Linked DNA regions of Pelodiscus sinensis. The protein of the gene in region 2 interacts with the protein of the main gene of each other region in a biochemical or structural test. Links are inferred from orthologs where the notes say so. Each region holds a gene or a part of one and is shown on either strand. Other genes may lie near its edges.

Region 1 (7,957 bases), on a different chromosome or scaffold from region 2:
TTTAATAAATCTCAGCCGCGTAGTTTGGAAAGTACCAATAGCTAGGTTAACATTGCTGCCACAATGCACCCATTGAGAAGGAAAATGCCCAATAATGCCACATCTATAAAAGCTTACAACGGCACAGCAGTACTGACGGTGCTGTGTCACTATAAGAGTGCTTATCTAGCTGTGTTATGCTGATGGGACAGAGCTTTCCCATGGAAACAATAAAACGAGTTCAATGAGCAATGCTAGCCACACTGGCAGGAAAGCATCTCTCACTGACATAATGCTGTGCTCTTGAGCACTTATACTGGTAAACCTTAGGCTGCTCAGGATTGGGTTTTTTTTCCCCATAAACTTTGCCAATGTGAGTGCTAATAGGGACACAGCCTAAACGAGAATCCAGGAAGGTTGAACTGATTAATTACCTTGCTTGGCCCACCCAGTTAGATCTCCATGACCGGGATGGGTGAAATCTTCTATGTCCGTAGACAGCTCTTTGTAAATATTTTCCAAACTACAAACAAAAATAAAGGAAAAGATTTTAAATATATTTCTGTGAAACTAATCAAATTAAGACAAACTAATGATTTTGTGTATTTCAGTAGAAACTATTGCCATGAACTAAAAAACTGATTTAGCATTCTAGGCACTTCATTCAACTCCCCTTTAGGAAAGTTATAGTCATCTGATGTATTTAATATGTACAACAGGGCCCTTTTCTTTACCTCTAACTGGACCTATTAACTTTTATGCAAATGTTTACTGAAGGTAAATGGCCTACACATCTACGTGAAGTTAAGCTTCTGCTTAAGGATTTGCAGGATGCAGGCCTGAGTAAACAGGGCCACAGGCTAGTGCCTTTATTCAATATAAGAAAACAAGCAAATTTAATCCAATCTAGTTTAAAAAATAAAGATCTTTCTGAAACCAAAACAAGAAAAGCTCTTTTGTTCCACCAAACTGATGGCCATTCCTATATAAAGCTCTCACATTACAACTGGCTCAATATGGAAACCCAATTTTGTAGGATTGAGCTTAAATCCTTGGAATACACCACCATCTTAGAAGTCCAAGTCCAAATTTACTTATTTGTTTCAATAGTAATACTTTCCCAGAAAGTATACACTTTAAAAATTCAATATGAGTTATTCTTATGATTACCTTTCCACTTCCCAATAAGTAGAAGTACTTGGTCATGTTATAAAATTATTTTTTCAGTGTCACAAGACATGTATCTCAAAGACAGTCACTTACAAATAATGTATTCCTATAAATAACCTATCCAGTAAACAGTGGCAGAGTTTTAAATAACTAAAAGCATAGTCATACCTAGGTGGAGGTGGAACAGGTCTCTGGACGCTGAAACAGAGTCCATGAGCTTGACTGGGTCCATGATAAGGATCTTGTCCCAAGATGACAACCTTTACCTGAACACAGATGCTAATTAGTGCTGAGAGCCCAGCAAAATGTCATAATATCTTAAAATATATGGACTTGTATGTATTGCTAAAAAAGCAAAACTTTCTAAATCAGAACCAAAGTGCACCTGAAAGAAAACAATATAGAAAAGGGTAGGGCCAGAGAAAAGAGAAGAAGAAAACAACTAAAGTTTTCAAGAGTGCTATGTTGCAATCATGGATGAAGATCATCAACACATAGAACTGGGTGAGAAAAAGAAGGTAAAAGTATACAAAAACACGACAGGAGAAAAAGCAGTGTTCACATCCTAACACAGCTACATTTCTATCACTATTTCACATCCTAAAGCACTGGGTTTCCATGAAAGTCGAACACCTGGCCAGCCAGACTGCAAACACAGCTTTCATGGTTTTGTTGAAAACACCAGAACACAGCAAACCCCATCTCTCCCCCCAGCAGGGGTCTCCGCTGGGGAACTTACATCTCGGATGTCGCACATCTGCGTCCAGGTGAAAACTTGCTGCGGGGGTGGGTAGATGGTGTGCCGTTTTCGCTCGTCGCCAACAAATGCCATTAGCTAGAAGGGGGAAGCAGGATGGGTCACGGTCAGTGCAGGCGAGTGAAAGGGGCAGGCACCGAGCAATTACAGGACGATGCTCCCCGCGGGGGAAGCCGCGCTCTCTCACCTGGGAGAAGTAGGGCTTGGTGAACTCCCCCGCCAGCTGCCGGCTCCAGCCCTCTCCAAAGCCCGCGGGGACACTCCGCGAAGCGAGTCTCTGCAAAGCCGCCTCCTTGTTCCTGCGGATCCGCTCCAACTGCTCGGGGCTCAGCGGAGGGGAGCGGGGCGAGGCCTTCGAGTCATGTCCCTCCGGTTTCAGCTTCTTGGCGCAGCTGGCCTGGAGCAGGCGACACAGGAGAGGGCTACGGCCCGGCCCCTGGAGGAACCGGGTCCTGGCCGGGCCCATAGGGGAAAGAGTCAGGGGAGCCGGGCAGGGCGGCTTGGGAGGCGGAGGCGGGGGACAGCCTGGGCGGGGCTTAGTGACAAGCACATGGCCACTTCGCGGGAAAACCGCGCGTGTTTCTCTCCCGCCGCACGGGAACGCCTCTTTCTATTGGAGGTTCAGTCACGGAAGGGGAGGGAGAAACCCAACATGGCAGCCTAGCCCCGCCCTCCCGCTCCTCATGGGCCACTAGCAGAGCTACCGCTCTTCTTATTGGCCCCTGGCTATGAAGACGCGCCGACTGACCTCTCCGCGGGATCAACAGCGCCCAGACACCGCCTCCCATTGGACAGTGAGAATGGAAACCAGCCAATGACCACAGGGCCAAGCAGCCTGGCTCCACCCCCTCCCGTATCGGCCCGCCCGCGGGCCAAGGAGAGCCCTGCTATTGGCCAATCCCCACAGCGGCGCCGCTTTTGATCGGGGGAGCCCTTTAAACACGCTCTGGTGGCGCTCGCCCCTCACGGTACCTCAGTCTCCCCGCCCTGCTGCGGGGAGCGCTCCCGCTTCCTCGGCGGCGCCGCGCGGAAGAACGAGTGCAGCGTCTTCTGCCCGATCATGCTGCCGGCGGCTGAGCCCCGCGGGTCGGGCGGGCTGGGCAGGGGCGGCCCCGTCCACACAGGGGCAGCGGCGGTGGCGACGGTCCTGCCAGCCAGGCACAGGCGGCCCCTTCCCCGCGCGGGAGCCGGCGGAGATGGTGGCCGGCGGCCGCCTGGCTGAAGGACCGAGCGAAATTGGCGCCAAGCGAGCGCGCATGCGCGGGGAGGGGGGAGCGTTGCAGTAGCGCGTGCTTGAGAGGGTCCTGGGGACCGTGGGCGCGTGCGCAGTGGAGCCGTGCCCCGCCCCTGCGAGCACTCACGCACGTGGGGGAGAGAGCGTTGTTTTAGTTCCAGTCACAGCCCATCTTCCCTGCCCCCCCAGGCTTCCATCCTTGCCCCCACTTCAGTACCCCCGTGCCCCCTCATTCCCCCATTCTCCTCATGGTCCCCCCCCCCCAGTTTCACTGTGATCCAGTTTCCAACAGGGGCAGGTGATGTGTGGCTGCAGGCAGGGGGGTGGAAGCACCAGGGAGGGAGGCAGTTAAAGAGCCTCTGGAAGAGACCCAAACTATCTTACCCATTACCAGGATAGCTTCCCCAATTATCACCTCTAATATCATTAGCTCACAGACATCTAACTTTCCCCACCTCTAATATCATCAATTCACAGACACTTACCTACCTTCCTCTCCCCCCCCCCATCCCCCTCCTGTTCTGCAATGTGATTTGTCCTTTTCATATGTGTTCACTTTTTTTTAATTGTATCCTTTGGTATATATGGTTGTGACTGTTTTCTTCCACTATTTGATCTGAGGAAGTGGGTCTGGCCCACGAAAGCTCATCATCTAATAAACCATCTTGTTAGTTTTTAAAGTGCTACATAGTCCTGTTTTTTGCTTCAGCTACACCAGATTAACAGGGCTACATTTCTATTACTATTCTGGAAGAGATGTGATAGAAATGTAGCCCTGTTAGTCTGGTGTAGCTGAAGCAAAATACAGGACTATGTAGCACTTCAAAGACTAACAAGATGGTTTATTAGATGATGAGCTTTCGTGGGCCAGACCCACTTCCTTTTTTGATCTGAAGTCTTTGAGGAAGTCTTTCATTGGAACAGCTGGGCCTGAACAAAGCAAGCGGTGGCACCAGCAAGGGATGTGAGCTTTAATTCCAAATCTGCTCCTACTCAAGTAGGACAGTTCTCCTATCCACATGGCATGCAAGTTCTACCCATTGAAAGCTTTGGCTGTGCTGGTGTGGTTTGTCATCTCAAGAAAACAGAGTGAACTTGCACACCTCTTCCTTCTATTCTTACATTCAGCTTTTGTCCATTCCCAACCTTCCCTAATCTTGTTTTTAGACTGACATCTCTAGCTTCCATGCAGTTCAATTGTAAATGAGTTCTGTTAGATCAGAACTGGATCTTTAACAAGCAAAATGCAATAACTTAACTCTTGAGTAATAGGTTCCTCAGAGCTCTTTACATATGCTAAGTAATTGATTCTGTCAACCCTGACTGAAGGAGCTGAAAACCTCATAGAGGAAAGAGAAAATACATGAAGAATTATGGAAATGACAAGAGAGACCAGTTGTAGTAAGATGAAGGCCTAAAACAAAAGCCTATGTAGCACAGTCCTGGTTTGAGGCCTGAGACCTAGCTAACAATGGACAAAACATGGCTAACAAAACAAAGTTAAGCTGTGAGCAGGAGGTAGGCCCCTCCTCACAGAACTTGGGCACGAACAGGACTGAGAGTGCAAAACGCTAAATGGCAATAGATTCCACGTATAGACCAGTAATTGGTGCTAGGTATCAACTGAAAAACAGTAATTGGTACTGGTCAAAAGTTGAAAGCATGTGGTACCACTAGCTAATTAAAAAGACCTTGGTACCTACACTCCCCACAGATACCTACCCAAGTTCAGGAAAAGCTCTAAAGTGACAGCATGATGGATAAAGATCTAATCAAACCACGAGGTAGAGGATGGTGAGTGGTATCTAAGTAGCATCAAAGAGTGGCAACCTGTTACGTCAGGAGTGATGTATAAGTTGCTAGTACTTGTATATAAAGTGGTATTTTGGGGGGACAGTCTGTGGATGATCTAGGGGGCAGTGGAAATTTTCCATTGATTGAGTCATTCCATTGTTACGAATCGCATATGCGTAGTGGTTTGGTAAAGTCTACGGACAACTATCACTTTATTTTGTTTAACAATAAACCTGGCCTGGCACTTTCAATCCTTATCTGATTTGTGGTCTTTGGGGGCTCTCTTGGGGTCTGCCATGCAGACTAAGTGCACTAGTCTACATGGCACACATCATTGAGCACACACGGAAGCAGCCTTCTGGTTTATCATCATCCATGGCATCAGAAACCTATAAGGACATCGTAACAGTAAATCCTGACCCCCTCTGACTAACTGTATGGCTGTGTCTATACTGGCGCGATCTTGCACCAGGGCTATGCAAATGAGGCTCAGCGTGGAATATCGCCAAGCCTCATTTGCATAACTAATGAGCCACCATTTTTGCAGAAGAGGCTCTTGCGCAAAACGGAGCTGTCTACACTGCCCCTTGTTGTGCAAGAAAAACCCTCTTACACAAAGCCGTTATGCCTGAAAATAATCAGCATAACGGCTTCGTGCAAGAGGGTTTTTCTTGCGCAAGAAGGGGCAGTGTAGACAGCTCCGTCTTGCGCAAGAGCCTCTTCCGCAAAAATGGTGACTCATTAGTTATGCAAATGAGGCTTGGCGATATTCCACGCTGAGCCTCATTTGCATAGCTCTGGTGCAAGATCGCACCAGTATAGACACAGCCCACCAGTTTTATAGTGGATGTAGCAGTGATGAGGCTCACTTGAGAGACTACCTAAAAAAATAACAAAACATTGTGTTCTGTACTACCCATGAGCTGCTATTATCCCTAACTTACAAATAGAGAAATAAGTATGGAAAGATTAAAGTGACAATGCCTCTTACCCTCTTCTGCCCTTTTGTATTTCACTGATTTTCTTTAAGTATCCTTACACCAAAAATAAATAAATTTAAAAAATGTGGTACTACCATTGCATTTGCCACTATCTCATTATCCACTATGCTGGTGTTTTCTCCCTACCTGGATCTATCTGGATTATAAGGTCTTTGGCACAGGGCAGTCTACTATTCTGTGTTTGAACTAGGGACGTAAAACCCTGTTTAATTCGTTAACTAGTAAACATTTTTTGGCTGGTTAATAGATTAAAGGAGGGGCGGCTTTGTAGGAAGTCCTCAGTGCCATACACAATAAATGACATTTTCTGGCACACTCACCAGTTAAAGAGGGCTGTGTACACGTATGATGCCATATAAATATTATGGAGGAATCAGGAAGATAATGGTTTCTAATAATTTATAAATGCTTCCAAGAAGATCCAGTAGGTGGTGCCAGTGGACCTTGCTAGGATTCACAGCAAAACTGAGCTGAGCAAGGGTGGAATGATTGGCTGAGTGTCTGCAGCAGGAAGTAGCTACTGCTGCTGGAAATGAGGCCTGCAGGAGCTGTTTCTGGGGCCTGAAGATCCTTAGCAAGCTGACAGCCAGGCCATGTTCAGTGGAGTCCTAATCAAGGATCTGCCTGGTTCTAGGAGCTTGGCCCAGACTCTGAGGATGACCTTGGAGTGACTGCATGCTCCACCCTAAAGAGGTGCAGTGACACCCATCTCAGGATTCACATGCAGGTATTTTTAAGTCCCTATTACTTAGGAGCACTTAAAATCTTCCAAGCCACTGTGGTTCTAGGCAGTCCAAAATCAGCAGTGAACTCCCATCAGATCCTGGAGTTGCAGGCTGATGGCTGTTTCTTAAGGGCAGCTAGGAATGGATAAGTTCGTGGTCAAAAGGCCTTTTCCAGGCAAGAATGAACAAGCCCCCTTAGACATGAAGGGAGGAGAGCTGGATTGTGTGAGAGATGGGAGAGAAAAGAAGAAGGCCTGCTCAGAAATGCCAGGTGCAGAGGAGGCCTTGGTGCATTCTCCATGGAAGCAAATCCGGGCAGAGGGTCTGAACTGTGATTACAGGATCTTGTTCCGCAAAGCTGAGGCTGACAGGATTTTCCAGGAGCTGGAAAAGGAAGTGGAATATTTTGAAGGTAAACAGACTAATAGATCTAATGTCTCTTCTGTCTCTAATGCCATGACACATCCTGCCTTATGACTTAGGAGCAACATTGATTGGGGGGGATGGGAGAGGATTTTTGTATGTGTAAGGTCCAATGCTATATAGTATACAATCTGCACACTCAGACTCTGACTCCTAAGCGGATTCACATTGGCTTTAATGGGAGTAAAGATCCCAATGGGTAGATGTGTTTGTACCATCAGATCCATAGCAGTTAAGTAGCAAAGGTAGGCTCTGATCCTTCAAATATGCATGTGCATAACTTTAAGCACATGACTTCAGTGGGCTTACTCACATTCTTAAGTCTCAGAAGGGTAGCTGGATTAGTCTCTATCTGCTAAGAATAATGAGTCCTGTGGCACATTAGAGACCAAAATCTGTTAGTCTCTAATAGTGATGTGAACATATAGATTACTACACAATTAACTGATCAGCCTGGGTTTATCAGTTAGTCCTGTCGATTACTAGGGATATAAGCAACTAGTTGCTTCCCTCCCGCCTCGCTGCCTCTCTCTGATAGAGGCAGCAAGGGTGGGGGAGCAGGAGCTGGTGCTGGAGGGAGCTGGCTTAAAAGCCAGTGGGGGAAAAAAATCTCATTGGGGAACTGGTGGTGTTTCCGCCTTTGAAATGTAGTGTGTGGGGAGCAAGGGGCCAGCGAGGGACTCAAGCTGACCCCATGCTCTCTGCTTTGGAAACCTACAAGAGTCCCACTCTTGCTACATTTCAAAGGCAGAAGCAAGGGGAGCTCTTGTACATTTCAAAAGCAGGGAGCATGGGGCCAGCTTGAGTCCCCTGAGGGCCCGGTGTTCCCTGGCCTTTGAAGTGTAGCAAGAGCTGACGGGGGTGAAGGTGAAGA
Region 2 (7,091 bases):
TCCAGCTTCTTTCTAGCATTCAAAGCAGTTTGCTTAGGCCACAGGGCAGCTTTTCACCAGGCACAGAGCAAAAAGGGAGACTGACCTGCTCCAGTTCTGGCTCTGTCCTTGCACAAATTACTTGGACAAGTTTATTTAATCTCAGGGAGGGAACATGAGCTAGGGCTTAGAGTAGGGGACAGAGTCGGGCTGCTGTAACAACTTAGTGTGCAGGATTTGCCAGCATCTTTTCATCACATGTCCATTCATGGCATGGAGTAGGCATGTATATATCCTCTTAGGAAGTGCATATATCTAAGAGCAAATGGTAAGTGGATTCATGCGATTTTGCTTCTAGACCCGGACAATTGGGGGGGGGGCTTTACTATGCAATTCCTCAGTTAAACCCACATTCATCTTCTAATTATTTTTCACTGCTGCACCCATCAAAGCCAGTACTGGTGTGTGGCCATTGTCACACCACTTAGTTCTGGATCCATGTCAGACCAACTTGGTCTGTGTCAACTGGATCAAACAGGGCATAACAAAATTGAGCTATCAAGTCTAGATCCAGTTTCTTTCGCTCTGGGAAGAGGTATTCTTCCACCTCGGTTGTCTCTTCTCCTTGGAGGAGACTGCTAATTCAAGGTACTATGTTTACAAGGTAGATTAAGTTCTCCTGGGCCCTGGATGTTCCCTTCATCATCCTGTATAATAGGCTGTTCTTAGCACAAAATGTAGAAAGCAAAATCAGACTGTTTCTGTAACAGCTATGTGCAACTCAAAGGGGGCAGAAGGAATCCTCTTCCCTCTGTTCTAGAATACTATTGGATAAACCCACCAACCTTCCCAGACTGAGTTTACCTCTGCACTTCACTTTCACGGATGTGAAGCATGGACATTCATTCTTCCTCTGCGGGTTTGTTAAGGATATAAGAACGGCCATACGGGGTCCATCTAGGATCCGGTCTTCTGACAGTGCCAGATGCTTCAGAGAGAATGAGCAGAACAGAGCAATGCTCAAGTGACTCGTTCCCTGTAGTCCAGTCCCATCTTAGTTCCCACTGTTCTTCTGTTTAGTCACACAACTCCCCGTTTTCTCTACGCAAGTGCACCTCCCTTCCGACCACCTTCTCTAGTTTTGTAGGGCCAAACCTCTGCTGGGAAGGACTCTTCATCTTGTAAGGGGACGTGATGTCAGGAAGGTTTTATGAGAGCAGTCTTCCATTTCCTCTGGATCCTCGGCCACCTCCAGCAGTAGTCCTTGAGGATGAACAAGATATGTCATTTTCCTATCCTGGGCTATAGGTGCCATATTGACAGACTTTCAAAAAGGGATGGTTTTTCCACCTTCCCTCAAGTGTCCCATAGGTGGGATTCAATTCTTGAGGGGGTTAGGGCCAATGGGATTAAGTCCTTTTCATGACAGTCTAGCTGCAGGCAGAATCCAACAGTGCTTAGATTCTTTAGCTTGCACGAGAATCCAGTTGGGAGAAAGAAAAGGAGAGATTCCCATCCCGACCTGTCCTGTGATCCATCTCGCAAAGTGATGCTTCCATTCCACTGGCGGGCATCTTCTGTAGCAGGGGGCACCTCTCTTTCCAGCAGTGGAAATGCAAATTCTCCAGTGCTTCATCCTCTCAGAGTTGCCAACAGGGTAAGATTGCTTCCAACCCTGCTTAGGTTTCCTCACTGCATAGCAAGGGACTAAGCTGAAAGCTACTGGAACATTTTAAGTCCTTTGGAGACAGAGTGGAGGGGTTTTCTCTCTCTCTGTAACTTGTCCCTTCAGTTTTACCTCAGGCTAGAGCAGGCCCAGATTATAGCTAAACTGAGCTACCACTGCTCCACTGCCAGCTCTGCTTCAGAGAAATGTTATGGTTCAGTCTCAGCCTGATGCGAGCACACCCATTCTTCCGCTCCAAGAGGCAACAGGTGCATTGATTGCTCCAAAACTATCGGTCCCACTGGAGGGGCAGACTGAATCGAGCGTTAACTATTTCTCGCCAGACCATAACGATGACTTTGGGCCTTCTCCCAGTCGGGTCGCTCTCCTCCTGGAACTGAAGTCTCTGAGATTGCTAAATCATAGCATTTCAACCCGCAGAAGAACGTGGATCTGTATGTGTCGTAAATATGCACATCCAGGGTTGCAACCACCTTGCTCTTCCCTTATTGCAATAGAGAAGGCAAATGTTGGAATAGAAGAGTCAACCGGAGACATGTCCCCCAAAACAGAAGAGGCTGAATGGAAGGAGAACGACAGCTCTCACTTGCTGCGAGTCCAGTTTCACATGCCCCTAGCTTGAGGTTCAGACAGGGCTGATGCAGAGCAGAAACCTTCAGACTGGAGGTCCTACAAGTACCTATGGCCACTCGTTCACAAACCTCTAGGAAGGCTTCTGGGTCATCGACTGGTCACATCTTAATTAACAAAAGGCCTGGTGCCATGGAGACCACCCGGCTTGATGCATTTGGGTTGAATAAGACGACCGGATTCATCAACAGGACTAGCTATCGCCAGCAGCTGCGGCTCCTGCTGGTTCTGTTGAACCAGCAACTTCTGCTGCAAAATGGCAGCTTGTATCCATTCCTGTGGGTCACATCAATCCTTGTCTTTCTCGGGCACCAGTTTGTTTCCTGGCCAGGGAGTGTATACTGGGTCTTACATTTCACCTTTAGGGCAACACTTTACAGGGATTCACAACCAGGCAGCTCCACTTCTTGGACCAGCAGCGAGAGCTCTGATAGCACAGTTGTTCATTCCAGCAATACTAGTCCTTTAAGAGTCTGAATTAGCCCCTCCTAAGTGAAGCCAGGTCCAGTTGTTACAAAAGTTTCCTTTGCTATTGCTTCAGGCCAAGCTCACATAGTAACACAGCTCCACAGCCAGCTTACTTTACCCAGCTTCTGATAGGAACGCTTCTCTCTTGATAGCTAGTGGATAGTTCTAAACAGCCCTGGTTGGCTTGTCTCGGCTCAGCCTCCTTCCTCCAAACTCTCAGGGAGACTATTTTTCTTCCAGCCAGCCAGCTCCCTTCTGAGGATATAAGCACTGTCATCAACTTCAGCTGAAGCACTTCCTGTTTCCCAATGTCTGCATTAACCCTTTCCTTCCTCCTTGGGTGCACAGGCCCCTACCATAGATCTACTGGGGCTAGGCATGAATGCTCCCAGCAAAAATACAGACTCAAGGCTGAACTCTTCAGTTGCTGCAGGACAGAGAATGCAAGAACTGGTGAAATGCCATGAAATTGCTGTTCATAGGTGGTAAGAGGCTGGTGCGGAACTATTTGAATTAATTCTTTTGCTAGATCAGTTCAAAACACACCTTGTCTGTCCTGACTATGCACAGTCAGATGTGAGAGCAGAAAAAAGTCAATGCAAGTAAGAGGCAGAGATAAAAGAGCCAGTGGGATGGATGCATAAGATCCATGTCTGGCATGGATACACTTCCCCAAGCACGCCGCAGCACACTTCATTAGGACCAGCAGTTCCAGCATTGAAAAGTTCCAAAGACTCATGGAAAAGGAGGAGCAGCTAAATCAAGGGTCTCAGACTCACGGCCCAGGAGGCATCTGTGGCCCAAGCAGTTCCACAATCCAGCCCTTGCATGGCTGCTGGCACGCTGAGTCCCTGTGGCCTTGGAGGAGGGAGGGGTATCTGTACCCTTCCCCCAAATCCAGCCTTTGCTCTGCTCCCATCCTGCCTCTTCCCAGCCCTGCTCCACCTCCCCCCCCCCCCACTGCACCCCATCCTTGAGGGGCCTGGCACAGGGCAGTAGTAGGTGTCAGGCCTCCCCACACTCGCTGTGGTGGTGGGAGCCACAGGGAAGCAGAGCAACTCAGCAGCCTCTGCTCCACCCTCATCTCCCAGGCCAGCCCAATCGCTCTGCTACTCCCTGCTCCAGTGTGGGCTGCTTGGGAGATGACAGTGGAGTGGAGCAGGCTGCTGTGTAGCTCCGCTTCCCTGAGACTGCCGGTGACGCGGTGAGTGTGGGGGGGTGACTCTGTTTCCTGCCCCAGCCTGCCCAAGGATGCGCAGGCTAAGCTGAAAAGGGAGGACCCTCCTGTCCATAGAATGGTTGGGGCAACTGGCACGGGACCCCCCAAAGCACACAGGTTAGCTCTGCACACGTGTCCCCCAGGCCGCAGGGACATGCCGGCAGTGGCACAGAGCTGGCAGCCGGAAGCCGTTCCAGCCCCGCTGAGATAGGGGAGCTCTGTCAGAGCGGGGTTCCCGCTGGCCCACAAGGAGGATTTGGGGATGGGCACTGACCCTAAGGTAAATTGCATTGTGACCCCGATCTAAAGGGACCCCACAAGGATGCTGACTCTGGCTCTGTTTCCAAAGAACATCCAGAATATTATTGGCAATGCTCGTGTTCTGACAAATACCTTTCTCGCAACTCACAAACATTAACAGCGGCAAACACAGGTTCCGCCTTCGGGCCTGAGCAAGCCATCCAAAAGGGCCTGTTTTAAGAACAAGAACGGATCATGTCTTCAGAAAGCCACCCAGCTGCAGAGAGACTTTATGCAGGTGTGTGATAATCCCTTGTGAAGGTGGAAACCTCACCCTAAACTCCACCCTCCACATCTCCATTTGTGCTCTGTGACGAGGTGTATAAATCCCCACGTTGATTAAGCAGGGGTTAACAGGAACCTGAGCCCACTTAGACCAGCTGCAGATGCCTGCAGAGGGTGGCAGGCTAACTGGAGATCAGTCCCAGCTGGGGAAAAGCTGGGCCTGCATAAAGGAAGAAGCACAAGGCCCTGGAAGAGAAATCTGGGAAGAAAACCAGCTGAGGGGTGGTGGAAAGTTGAATAGTGCCTGGGAGATCTAGAGACTCTGCTGTGAAATAGAAATAGGGGAGAGCTTCTGAGAATCCCAGCATGATATCTGGGGGAAGGAAGATACAGGATTTGCACAGGAAATCTAGGAAGCTGAGGGTGTCAGGGAAGGCCACTGGCAATATGGAAACAATCCTTGTAATGGGCAGTTAAAAGGTGAAGCTTCCAGAAGATGGTGATTTTCACTGCAGGGGACCCAAATGAGGGTTAAAAATGGAGCTGTGGATGAGGGAGTCTGAAAACGGCAGGAGAGAAAGGGTTCTTGTGGGGGGGGGGGAGCCTGCCCACTTGGTAAAGGGGTGGGAGTTTGTTTGAATGGTCAAATGTGAAGCCCCTCCGGGAAGGCCTGTCTATCTTCACGCCTGAGCAGAGAGGGTGACGGGACTAGGCATTGTCATGTGGGTTTGGGTGTGATGTACCAGAGAAAAGGCAGGAATAAACATGACTGGGCCAGGGCTTACAAGGAGACCTGAACTGCGGTAGGTCTGGACTGGAGTGACTGTCAGCAGGTGGCACTGGGAAGGACAGCCTGCTATGGCATGCCTGGCTAGGAGAAAGTGCTTTCGAGGTGAGTCTGCCCTTCCATAGGGCTTTATTAACTGACTGCAGGAGCATGTAGACAGTGTTGTGTTGTGTTGTGGGGGGGTGTTTTTGTTAATTATCGATTTGTGTTAAGGGAGGCTGTAGCGATAGTTACTGAATCGGTGGATACTGACCCCTGCAGTGTAACCCCACGTCCAGTGAGAGGAACCAGCGAGAAGTTCAGTCTCCTATTAGCACTTGGACCTGTCCCCCCACTCTACCACAGAGTAGAGCACTCATGTCTTTAACTGCTGATGCTTTATGGAAGGATACAAGAGCAGGAGCTGAGCTATAGAGACTAAACTCTGATCCTATCTTGCAACCTAAAGGATCTACAGTAATTTAGCAGTTTTTGGTGCTATAGACGGACTGAACAAATCTGCCTCTTTGTTAGGAAATAGGAGGCATTGCTCTTGGGAAAGCCAGAGGCTTTTCTTTGAATGACCTAGCAGCAGTCACTCTGCCTCTACCCCAGTCCAGCCAATGGTGCAGCCCTGAGACCCTTTCCCCGTTCTTATGCATGCCGGATACTCCTGGTTGCCGTGTTGCGTGTACACTGCAATGGAAACACTCAGCCCCACTCTGGCGCTGTCTAGCTCGACCTGCCACCCGCTTCTGGAGCAGCCACAGTGGAGAACCACCTAAGTATTGTTGGAAACTGGCAATAGCAGAGCAGTCACTATCTGTCAGGGATACTCCTCCGCCAGTCCCTCCCATCCCAAAGGGGGTTTACAGGGAGTGTCGGCCCTCCCTCTATACCAATTTCCCATGCACAGTACTTAGTTTTCAGGCACTGAGTTTCGGACATTGCTTAATGGACCAGATTCAGGCCACCAGAAGCCTGTGAAGCCAGCCAGTTTGTCCTCAGTGTATTTAACCTGCCTTTGTATGCTTTCGATTGGACCGAGGTGTCTGGAAAGGGCCCTGGGTTTGGGCAGCAGTGGGTAGGGATACCCTGCACCTGCCTAAATACAGCTGTACACATTGTAGGCGACACAGAGCCTGCTCCAAATTCCTTACATGCTGGAGTGACTAGCAATCCTGGGACAATTCCTGCACACCAGCTGACTATCTGAATGACGGGTGTGACCAGTCCAATCACAAGCAGGTTCACCAGGATCATGCCATTTTAGTGTGAGGAGCAAGAAGGAAACTAACTGAACCTTCTCAGTAAGAAACATGCCAACCAGTCCTTTGGTACGTTAACAGGGACAGCTGTACAAAACAAACAGCAGTAGAAGACGGGGGGGAGGAGGGGACAGACACCAGGCAGAGGCGACAGACCTAGGAACGGGAGCAGTTCAAGGCCCCAGATTCTCCTGCCTGCTGTCCTTCCCTCCTCCCTGCCCTCCAATGGGCTGGAGCCACATAGCAGTGAGCGCCAAGGGGACACCACATCCCTGTGCTGCCTCTGTCAGTGGGTTCTGCCCCGCAGCTCCCATTGCCAATGGGAGCTGTGTGCGGGGGCGGAGCTTGCAGGGGAGTGCAAGATAGGGTGCAACAAGGGATTCTGGGTACAGGGCCTGAGGATGTGAAATCAGGTGGCTCAGCACAGCCAGCCCTATCTCCCCCTAGACCCCATAACCAACCCTGAACCCTAGCCCTGAGCACATTCCAGCACCCTAACTCCTGCCCAGACTGTGCAACCTCACCCCAACCTCCCGTCTGGAGCCCTCT

The links.
Region 1: of the proteins of DCAF1 (region 2) and UNG, one has a biochemical effect on the other in vitro, tested with the Homo sapiens proteins (2 studies listed by BioGRID, with this or other methods). The link is inferred for Pelodiscus sinensis from reciprocal best matches to the Homo sapiens genes DCAF1 and UNG.

The regions. Positions count from the first base shown.
Region 1 is NC_134725.1:36,986,510-36,994,466, reverse strand, and holds the start of UNG (uracil-DNA glycosylase), read right to left. Parts: upstream 3,172-7,957; 5' UTR 2,969-3,171; coding exon 2,879-2,968; intron 2,304-2,878; coding exon 2,094-2,303; intron 1,985-2,093; coding exon 1,889-1,984; intron 1,416-1,888; coding exon 1,318-1,415; intron 503-1,317; coding exon 414-502; intron 1-413. Other genes in the region: DNA oxidative demethylase ALKBH2, read left to right, coding at 6,802-7,072. UniProt on the Homo sapiens protein: Uracil-DNA glycosylase that hydrolyzes the N-glycosidic bond between uracil and deoxyribose in single- and double-stranded DNA (ssDNA and dsDNA) to release a free uracil residue and form an abasic (apurinic/apyrimidinic; AP) site.
Region 2 is NC_134721.1:43,464,641-43,471,731, forward strand, and holds the start of DCAF1 (DDB1- and CUL4-associated factor 1), read right to left. Parts: upstream 3,014-7,091; 5' UTR 844-3,013; intron 1-843. UniProt on the Homo sapiens protein: Acts both as a substrate recognition component of E3 ubiquitin-protein ligase complexes and as an atypical serine/threonine-protein kinase, playing key roles in various processes such as cell cycle, telomerase regulation and histone modification.